Linked DNA regions of Canis lupus familiaris. Each later gene encodes a partner of the first gene's protein in a complex. Links are inferred from orthologs where the notes say so. Each region holds a gene or a part of one and is shown on either strand. Other genes may lie near its edges.

The links. The genes of interacting proteins can lie anywhere in the genome.
Region 2: RBM15B (region 1) and METTL14 share a complex: the UniProt entries of both Homo sapiens proteins name them as parts of the WMM complex. The link is inferred for Canis lupus familiaris from reciprocal best matches to the Homo sapiens genes RBM15B and METTL14.

What each region holds. Positions count from the first base shown.
Region 1 is NC_049241.1:38,597,501-38,601,744, forward strand, and holds the start of RBM15B (putative RNA-binding protein 15B), read right to left. Parts: upstream 2,818-4,244; coding exon 115-2,817; 3' UTR 1-114. UniProt on the Homo sapiens protein: RNA-binding protein that acts as a key regulator of N6-methyladenosine (m6A) methylation of RNAs, thereby regulating different processes, such as alternative splicing of mRNAs and X chromosome inactivation mediated by Xist RNA.
Region 2 is NC_049253.1:2,174,306-2,177,953, forward strand, and holds part of METTL14 (N6-adenosine-methyltransferase non-catalytic subunit), read right to left. Parts: intron 2,528-3,648; coding exon 2,439-2,527; intron 1,568-2,438; coding exon 1,480-1,567; intron 1-1,479. UniProt on the Homo sapiens protein: The METTL3-METTL14 heterodimer forms a N6-methyltransferase complex that methylates adenosine residues at the N(6) position of some mRNAs and regulates the circadian clock, differentiation of embryonic stem cells and cortical neurogenesis.

The sequences.
Region 1 (4,244 bases):
AAAATAACCCAGCAGAGAATTCAAACCAAGGGGTAGGATGTGGGGAAGGGTGGTGGTCGGATTTTAAAAGAACTGCTTTTGTGACACAAACGCGGAGCTGGAGCCAGGTCTGGGCTAGGCAGTGTCTCTTACTATAACTATCACCATGTGTTCCTCCTCTAGCTTGCCCAATGTCCTCAGTGCTGACTGGAGGTACTGCTGTGAAAAGTCGCAGGGCGGGAAGGCGTAGAGCATGCCTGTGCTGTCTCTGCCCTTGGACCCACCCACCGGCAGGCTGATCACCCCTGCGGCCTGCTTCTGTTTCAAGTAGGAGACCAGGTTCCTGAGAAGCCGCCTCTGTAGGCCTGGCTCCACCGTGGGCATCCCCTCAGTGCCAGGCCCGCTGGGGGTCGCCTGGGTGGCTAGGAGCACCGCATAGCCATTGGGGCTCCCCTGCTTGATGCGCCGCGTGACCTCATCGAGCTTGGGCTGGTCCAGCCGCAGACGCTGGGCAATCTTCAGCTGGGTCAGCTTGCTCCCGGAAGTGTGGTCTTTGAGGAGGCCCGTGATAACCCCTTGGTCCCCCTCTAGGATGTGCATAGATGTTGGGAAGCAGCTGTTTTTCAACACTAGGAGCCCATTCCAACCCAGCTGCAGTGTCTGGGCATACTCGGAAAGATTCTTGAGCTTTTTGGTCTCGTGTTTTGGCTCTTCCAGAGGCTTGGGTTCAGCCTCAGCGGTCCGATGATTGCGCTCGCTCTCTCGGGTCTTCTTCCCATGGGAAGAGTCTGGAGCCTCGTGGTGGTGGTGGTGGCTCCGCTCCTCAGCCCCGTGTCTGCTGTTGCTGAGGGAGTTGCTGCTCGACTCCTTGGTCCCATCACTGGAGTGATTCTCCTTACGGCTGCGCTCAGGAGTGCGGTCAGAGCCCCGGTCCACCTGTGGCCCACCACCCTTGGTCCTGCTCCTCTCCTCGTAAGGGGAGTGGGTTGTCCTCCCGCGGTCACTGGAGAGGCTCCTCCGCTTCCGCCTCTCCTCCCAGGGCTTGGGCAGGCCCCGGTCCCCATCTCCCCAGCGCTCCCCACTCCGGCTGCGCACTGAGCGGCTGTAGCCCTCCAGGCTGTTTCGGCGGTCAGAGCTTTTACTAGGGCTGGTCCAGTCCCCTTCCAAAAAGGTCCGGTCCCGGTCTGAGTACAGGAGGTGTGGGGGGGTCCTATCCCGCACCCGGAGGTCTGCATCCAGGCTTCGATGCCGGGTATATCCATCTGGGAGCAGCTCATAATGCACAGGGAGGGGTGAGGGCTGGTACTGCTGGGGATACCGGGTCTCCTCTGCTTTGGCAAAATCCACACGCAGCCTTCGGTCTGGACCACCCAAGGGAAAGCCCCTCATTTTTGCGCAGGCGGCCTGAGCTGCATCCAAGCTCTCATACTGGATGTAAGCAAAACTATCTCCCTTGACGTGATCAATGGTCCGAATGCTCCCGAAGCGGTCAAACTCCCGGGCCAGAGCGGCCAGTGAGGTGTTAGGTCCCAGGCCGCCCACCCAGAGGCGAGTGGTGGGGTTGGCCTTGCCATAGCCTATCTTAATGGGGTTTCGGCCAATCACCCGGCCCGACATGGCCACCTTGGCCCTGTGGGCCATGTCTAGATTCTGGAACTTGAGGAAGGCATACGCACCACCCTGGCCACGGGCAGGTCTCTTGATGACCACCTCCTCAATGATGCCGTACTTCTCAAAGGCCCGCCGCAACTCCACCTCGGACACGCTGTGGTCCAGGTTCCCGATGAAGAGGTTGCGCGTGGCCCGCTGGTCGTCCTCAGGCATCAGGTCCTCCTCGCACACGGCGGGGTAGCCGTATGGGCGCCCGCGGTCGTCGTACAGACCGTAGTAGTCCAGGGCCCGCTCCCGGGACAGTCCTACTGCGGCGGCGGCGGCAGCATCCAGGGCAAAGGCCGCCGCGGCGTGGCGGGCGCGGGGCTCCCGTAGCGGAGGGGCGGCCACTGGGGACAGAGAGCGCTGCTTGTACTGGTAGCCGCCGTGCAGCGGCAGGTAACCGAGCGGGTCGGCGGGCGCGGGCGGCCCTGGGGGCGGCGTGGAGGCGGCAGCACTGCTGCTGCTGCTTCGCCGGCTGCTCCCGCCGCCGCCGCCGCCGCCGCCGCCGCCGCCGCCGCCGCCGCCACGCAGGTACACCGGCTCCACCTTGAGCGGCCGGTCGTAGAGCAGCAGCTGGCGGGCCAGGGCGTGCTGGCGGGCCTCGCGTGCGTCCTGCGGGTGCCGGAAGTTCACGTAGGCCACGCGGCCCAGCTCTGGCGTGTGCGACAGGCGCAGGCTGATCTCGCCAAAGCGCTTGAACTGGTGGAAGAGTCGGTCCTCGAGGTGCTCGGCGGGCAGCGCGGGGCTCAGGCTGCTGATGAGCAGCGTCTTGTACTCGGGTGCGGCCGCCGATGAGCCGGGCCCCGCGGGCTCGGCCCCGGGCGGTGGCGGAGGTGGCGGCAGCGGAGACGCGCGAGGTGATGCACCTGAAGCGCCTGGGTCCCCGGAGGCCTTGCCACCGCGTCCCCCGCCGCCAGCGCCCGAGCCCGAGGAGCGGCCGCTGCTCGCACGGTGATTCGCGTCCCCGGCGCCGCGGCCGTCGCGATGCCCACCCCCGCCGCCCCCGCTACCGCGGGGTTTGTCGCGGGCCCGCGTTGGAACGGGATGCTTGGCGCCGCCCGAGGCCTTGTGCGCCGCCCGCCGCCCGCCCGCCTCCGCCTCCCGTTCGCGCTCCCGCGGCCGCTTGGCCGACGATGACGAGCCGCGCCCGCTCGGGCTCGAGTCTCGCTCGCTCTGCCTCTTCATGGCGCCGGCGCGGCGGGCGGGCGGGCGGCCCGCAGGCCCCTCACAGCGGCGGCGGCGGCGGCCGAGGAGGCAGCGCCCCCGGCGCCGCCATCTTGGACAAAAGGACTCGGCGCGGCGGTGGCGGCGGGGCGGGGCGGGAGCGGCGCCCAGGGGCTGGGCGTCGCGTTATCAGGCAGCGCCGGACTGTCACGTGACCCCGCGGCGGGCGGGGCGAGAGCTACGCCGGGTGTGCGTCATCGGACTGCGCCGCCCCCATCACGTGACCCCCGGGGGCGGGGCAGGGGCCGGGAGGCCGGCGGGCGATCGCGGCCCGGCATTGAGCTCTGGCGCCACCGCGCGGCCTTGGGGCCGGGCTGCGCGGAGATGGGGGCCATCGCGAGAGCGGGCCTGGTTCGCTCCTGCCGGCCCTAGGCTTCCCGCTTCCGGCGCGGGGGCCCGCGCTGCGTGGAACAGGAGTGGCAGTGCCTGTGGGCGCCGGGCTCCCGACTCTTGACCAGCGGCCTCTTTACGTAGCATCCCCCGACTGGTCCGGGGTCGACGGTGAAGAGGATCTAAGCACGCCGCTCCCTCAGCCCTGTCCAGCGCCCACGCCCCACAAAGCAGGGATCCTCCGCATTCAGGTATCACCTGCTGCGGTCCCTGGAAAGGCCGCGATGACCAAGGGCTGTCCATGCAAAAGGCGAGGCTCAGCAGGGTTGAGGCGGAGAAACCCGCGCCAGCAAACCCGCCGTTTACCGAGTGCGAATTGGCGCCACTAGGCTGCGGCCCTCCGAGCAGTGGGCTGAGGGCAGGGCCACGGAGCCAAGGGCGAAGAGAAGGCCAAACCCAGTCGTTAGCACAGCTTGCTACGCTTACCTCTTGAGGCTGACCAGTGCCCTTCTATCCACTTCGAGGGCCAGGACCTCTTCTCCAGAGGTGAGGTGCGGGGGAGGCGGAAAGAATCCTGCCTGGGTGCCCAAGCGGCCTTGGGATGGTTTTATTCCCGAGAGCTGCTGGAAGCATCGCAGAACCTGACCCTTCTGCACGGAAACCGTGGGGGCGGGGAAGAGGCTGCCAGTTCCTCCTCCTCCTCCTCCCATGACCATACATAAAGCAGCTCCTGGAGCAGCTGAGGCAAGTGCAAGGGGAAAGCTCTTAAAAGAAACATCTGTAACATTGTCTGATCTTAACTCCCCTTCCAGCAGGAATGAGTTAACCCTTTGTAGATAACCGTGGGGGTCAGCCCTAGAGTGGGAGTGGTTGGGTTGTTTTTCTGTTCCTGTGTTCAGTGTGGCCTGTAGGCCATGGCCATCTACTTCCTAAGATTTCTATCGCCAGCCGTGGATTTTCCCAGCACCTATAAGGGGCTCAGGACACACTGCGCTGGTCACATCTCAACAGCCCACCTATTTTCCCCAAACAAGAAAGTCTCGGCCTGAGGAGTAGCT
Region 2 (3,648 bases), on another chromosome or scaffold:
AGCCACTCAAAATTTGGTCCAATTATCCAAAGTTTCTGATACATCTACCTCTTTACTCTTACTTAAGAATATTAATGTCCAGTGCTTACTAGGCATTATGCTTTTTATATGTCACCTCTTATATTAAAATGAGGAAACTGAAATAAAGATCTTAATTGAACCGATTACCGAATTACTTCATTTGATTGTGCTTGAATTTATTGCACTCTGAAGATATTGCATGTTTTACAAATTAAAGGTTTGTGGCAACCCTGCCAGCAAGTCTACTGGCACCATTTTTCTGATGGCATCTGTTCACTTCATGTCTCTGTGTCACATTTTGGTAATTCTTGCAAAATTTATAACTTCTTCATTACCATATCTGTTATGGTGATCTATGATCAGTGATCTCTGATGTTACCATTTTAATTGTTTTGGGGCACCATGAACCATGTGCATACAAGATAGTGAACTTAATCCATAAATGTGTTTTCATTGTTTCACCAACTGGTGGTTCCTGTGTCTCTCTCCCTCTCCTTGGGCCTCCCTGAGACTTCATATTGAAATTAATAACCCTATAACGTCTTCTAAGTATTCAAGTAAAAGGAAGAATTGTACATTTCCCACTTAAAATCAAAAGTTAAAACTTAAGCTTAATGAGGAAAGCATGTGGAATTCAAGATAGGCCAAAACCTGGGGCTCTTATGCCAAACAGCTAACTTGTGAATACAAAGGAAAAGTTCTTGAAGGAAAAAAAAAATGCTACTTCAGTAAACACACAGATGATAAGAAAAAAATGCTACCTCAGTAAACACACAGATACAAAAAAAGTGAAACAGCCTTATTTCCAATATAGAAAAAGCTTACTGGTCTGAACAGAAGATCAAACTAGCCACAACATTCCTTTCAGGCAAAGCCTAATTTAGAGCAAGGCCCTAACTCTCTTCCATTCTATGAAGGCTGAGAGAGTTAAGGACACTGCATAAGAAAAGTCTGAAGTAAATAAAAGTCGGTTCTGAGGTTTAAGGAAAGAAGACATCTCCATAACATAAAAGCTTAAGGTAAAGCAGCAACAGTGAGGCAAGCAAGGCCCTCCACCAGAAAAAAAAAAAGATTAAAACTTGGTATAAAGCTCAAATAATGGATAGCATTTTTTAGCAATAAAGTATTTTTAAATTAAGGTATACACTTTGTTTAATCAGACATTAATGCTGTTGTACAATTAAAAGACTGTAAGATTGCACAGACATAACTTTTATATGCACTGGGAGACCAAAACTTTCATTTGACTTGGTTTTATTGCAACATTCACTTCATTGTGGTGGTCTGGTACCAAACCTGCAGTATCTCCGAGGTATACCTGTATACATATGCTACTAACAATTCTTTTAGAAAGTTTAAAATTGAGCTTTTCACTATATTTATTTTCCTGGATAAGAATCCATTATTGTAGGGATTTATTTTTTTCTTGATCATAAAATTGCTTTGTTCTCTACTTGCCTTATATTCTTCCATTTTGTCTTCATCGGTTTCTCCTTCATCCTGATACTTACGTTTTGCATTTGGAGCAGAGGTATCATAGGAAGCCCTGAAAAATTAAAACTGGAGTATCACACACAGATATAGAAAGATGTATAAATGGTAGCTATTAATAATATTAAATGACAGTTTATAAAAACAGAACAAGGCACTTTTTTCTGATTAAACGGTATCTATCTATTCATTCAGTTTATAAATCAAAAAAGTCATACATCCTGATTGGTAATTCTGTATTTTATTATTATGAGAAAGCAACCAAATCAGAAACTTAAGTTCATGTAATGGATATATGGCAAAAAGAAACTTCTATATTATGTTACCATTCTAATTTGTCTTAAGAAAAATTGATATTCAAATTAATAACCAGAATACTGAAAAATTCTGAAGTGCTTTCTGAACTACCAATGAAAACTGCTTTTAGGGTAAAGCCTGTTTTTTCTTATAAGAATTTGTAAATATAATTGTTTATTTATGGTATATAAGCTATCCTTAGTCTAACATTCCATTTTCTAACTACTTTATGAATAAGAACTTATTACATTCAGAAAATAAGTATTCATAATTCATGAATACTAAAAACCAGTATTTCTGAAATCTTTTATTTTGATGCCTGTCATTAACAACACACTTCATACCTAGGATTATGTTTATCAAAACAATAACCCAGGGCACCTGGGTGGCTCAGTCAGTTAAGCGCCTGCCTTCAGCTCAGGTCATGATCTGGAGTCTTGGAGATCAAGCTCAGCTTTGGGCTCCCTGCTCAGCAGGGAATCTGCTTGTCCCTTTCCTCTGCCCCTCCCCCTGCTCATGTCCGCCCTCCCTCTTTCTCTTTGCCTCAAATAAAATCTTAAAAAAAAAAACAAAAAACATTCACAATATTCACGTCACTAAAAAAAAAAAAAAGAAAAAAATTCAACTACCTGCAAGTTTCTCTTGTTTCAGCAATTTCTCTCTGCTCATCTTTGCTATTTAACACAGCACCAATGCTGTCCGCACTTTCGGCTCCCAACTGAGAAAAGACAAAAACCAAAAATTAGATCATAATGCACTGGATAGCCTTCCCAGCTTATGTAGTAACATTTAATATATCAGATATTAAAAAACAAAACAAGGAGCACCTGGGTGGCTCAGTCAGTTAAATGTCTGCCTTTGGCTCAGGTCATGATCCCAGGGTCCAGGGATGGAGCCCCACATTGCAGTTCCCTGCTCAGCAGGGAGTCAGCTTCTCTCCACCCCCCACCCCTGCCCAGCCCCCCTTGTATGTGCCTGTGACTGCGCGTGTGCACTCTCTCAGATAAATAAATAAAATCCTTAAAAAAAACAAAACAAAACAAAAAATCTTAACAACCTCAGCAGGCAAATAGATTAGTTAATTTGCAGGAATAATAGGAAATACCTTGGAACAAAACCATGTTAATTAGGAATAAATTGGAGAGCTAGTGAGCATATTATACTTTCAGTTATATTTGAAATTAAGACAATTTTAGCCAATCTTCTACTTTTTAAGTAAATAATAAAACACAATTTAGTAATAGTAGCAATAACAAAAAAAGCGGCTAACGTATAGGCACTAACACTTTGCATCTGTCAATTCACATATTACACTTTATCCTGTGCTATAATAAATATCCAGTTTTATTCAAGTCTTTTTTTTTTTAATTTTTATTTATTTATGATAGTCACACACAGAGAGAGAGAGAGAGAGAGAGAGAGAGAGAGAGAGGCAGAGATGCAGGCAGAGGGAGAAGCAGGCTCCATGCACTGGGACCCCAACATGGGACTCGATCCCAGGTCTCCAGGATTGCGCCCTGGGCCAAAGGCAGGCACCAAACCGCTGTGCCACCCAGGGATCCCTATTCAAGTCTTTATACAATGATCTATAGGCACAATACTGAACTTTAATAATTCCTAAAAAGTGGTAATGCAAATTCTGTTTAGCAGTTGGAGAAATTTTGCAAAACAGAACAAATAACTAGTTGAGATAAACTGGCTACAGAGAGTGGGATCAGTTCACGGAAATCTTTAAAAGCCAAACAAACAAGTGTAGAATGCAATTTATAGGCCATGAAGAACCATTTGATATTTTTTAAGTACAAGAAGGGCATGAGGAAATTTGGATTAATTAGTTCC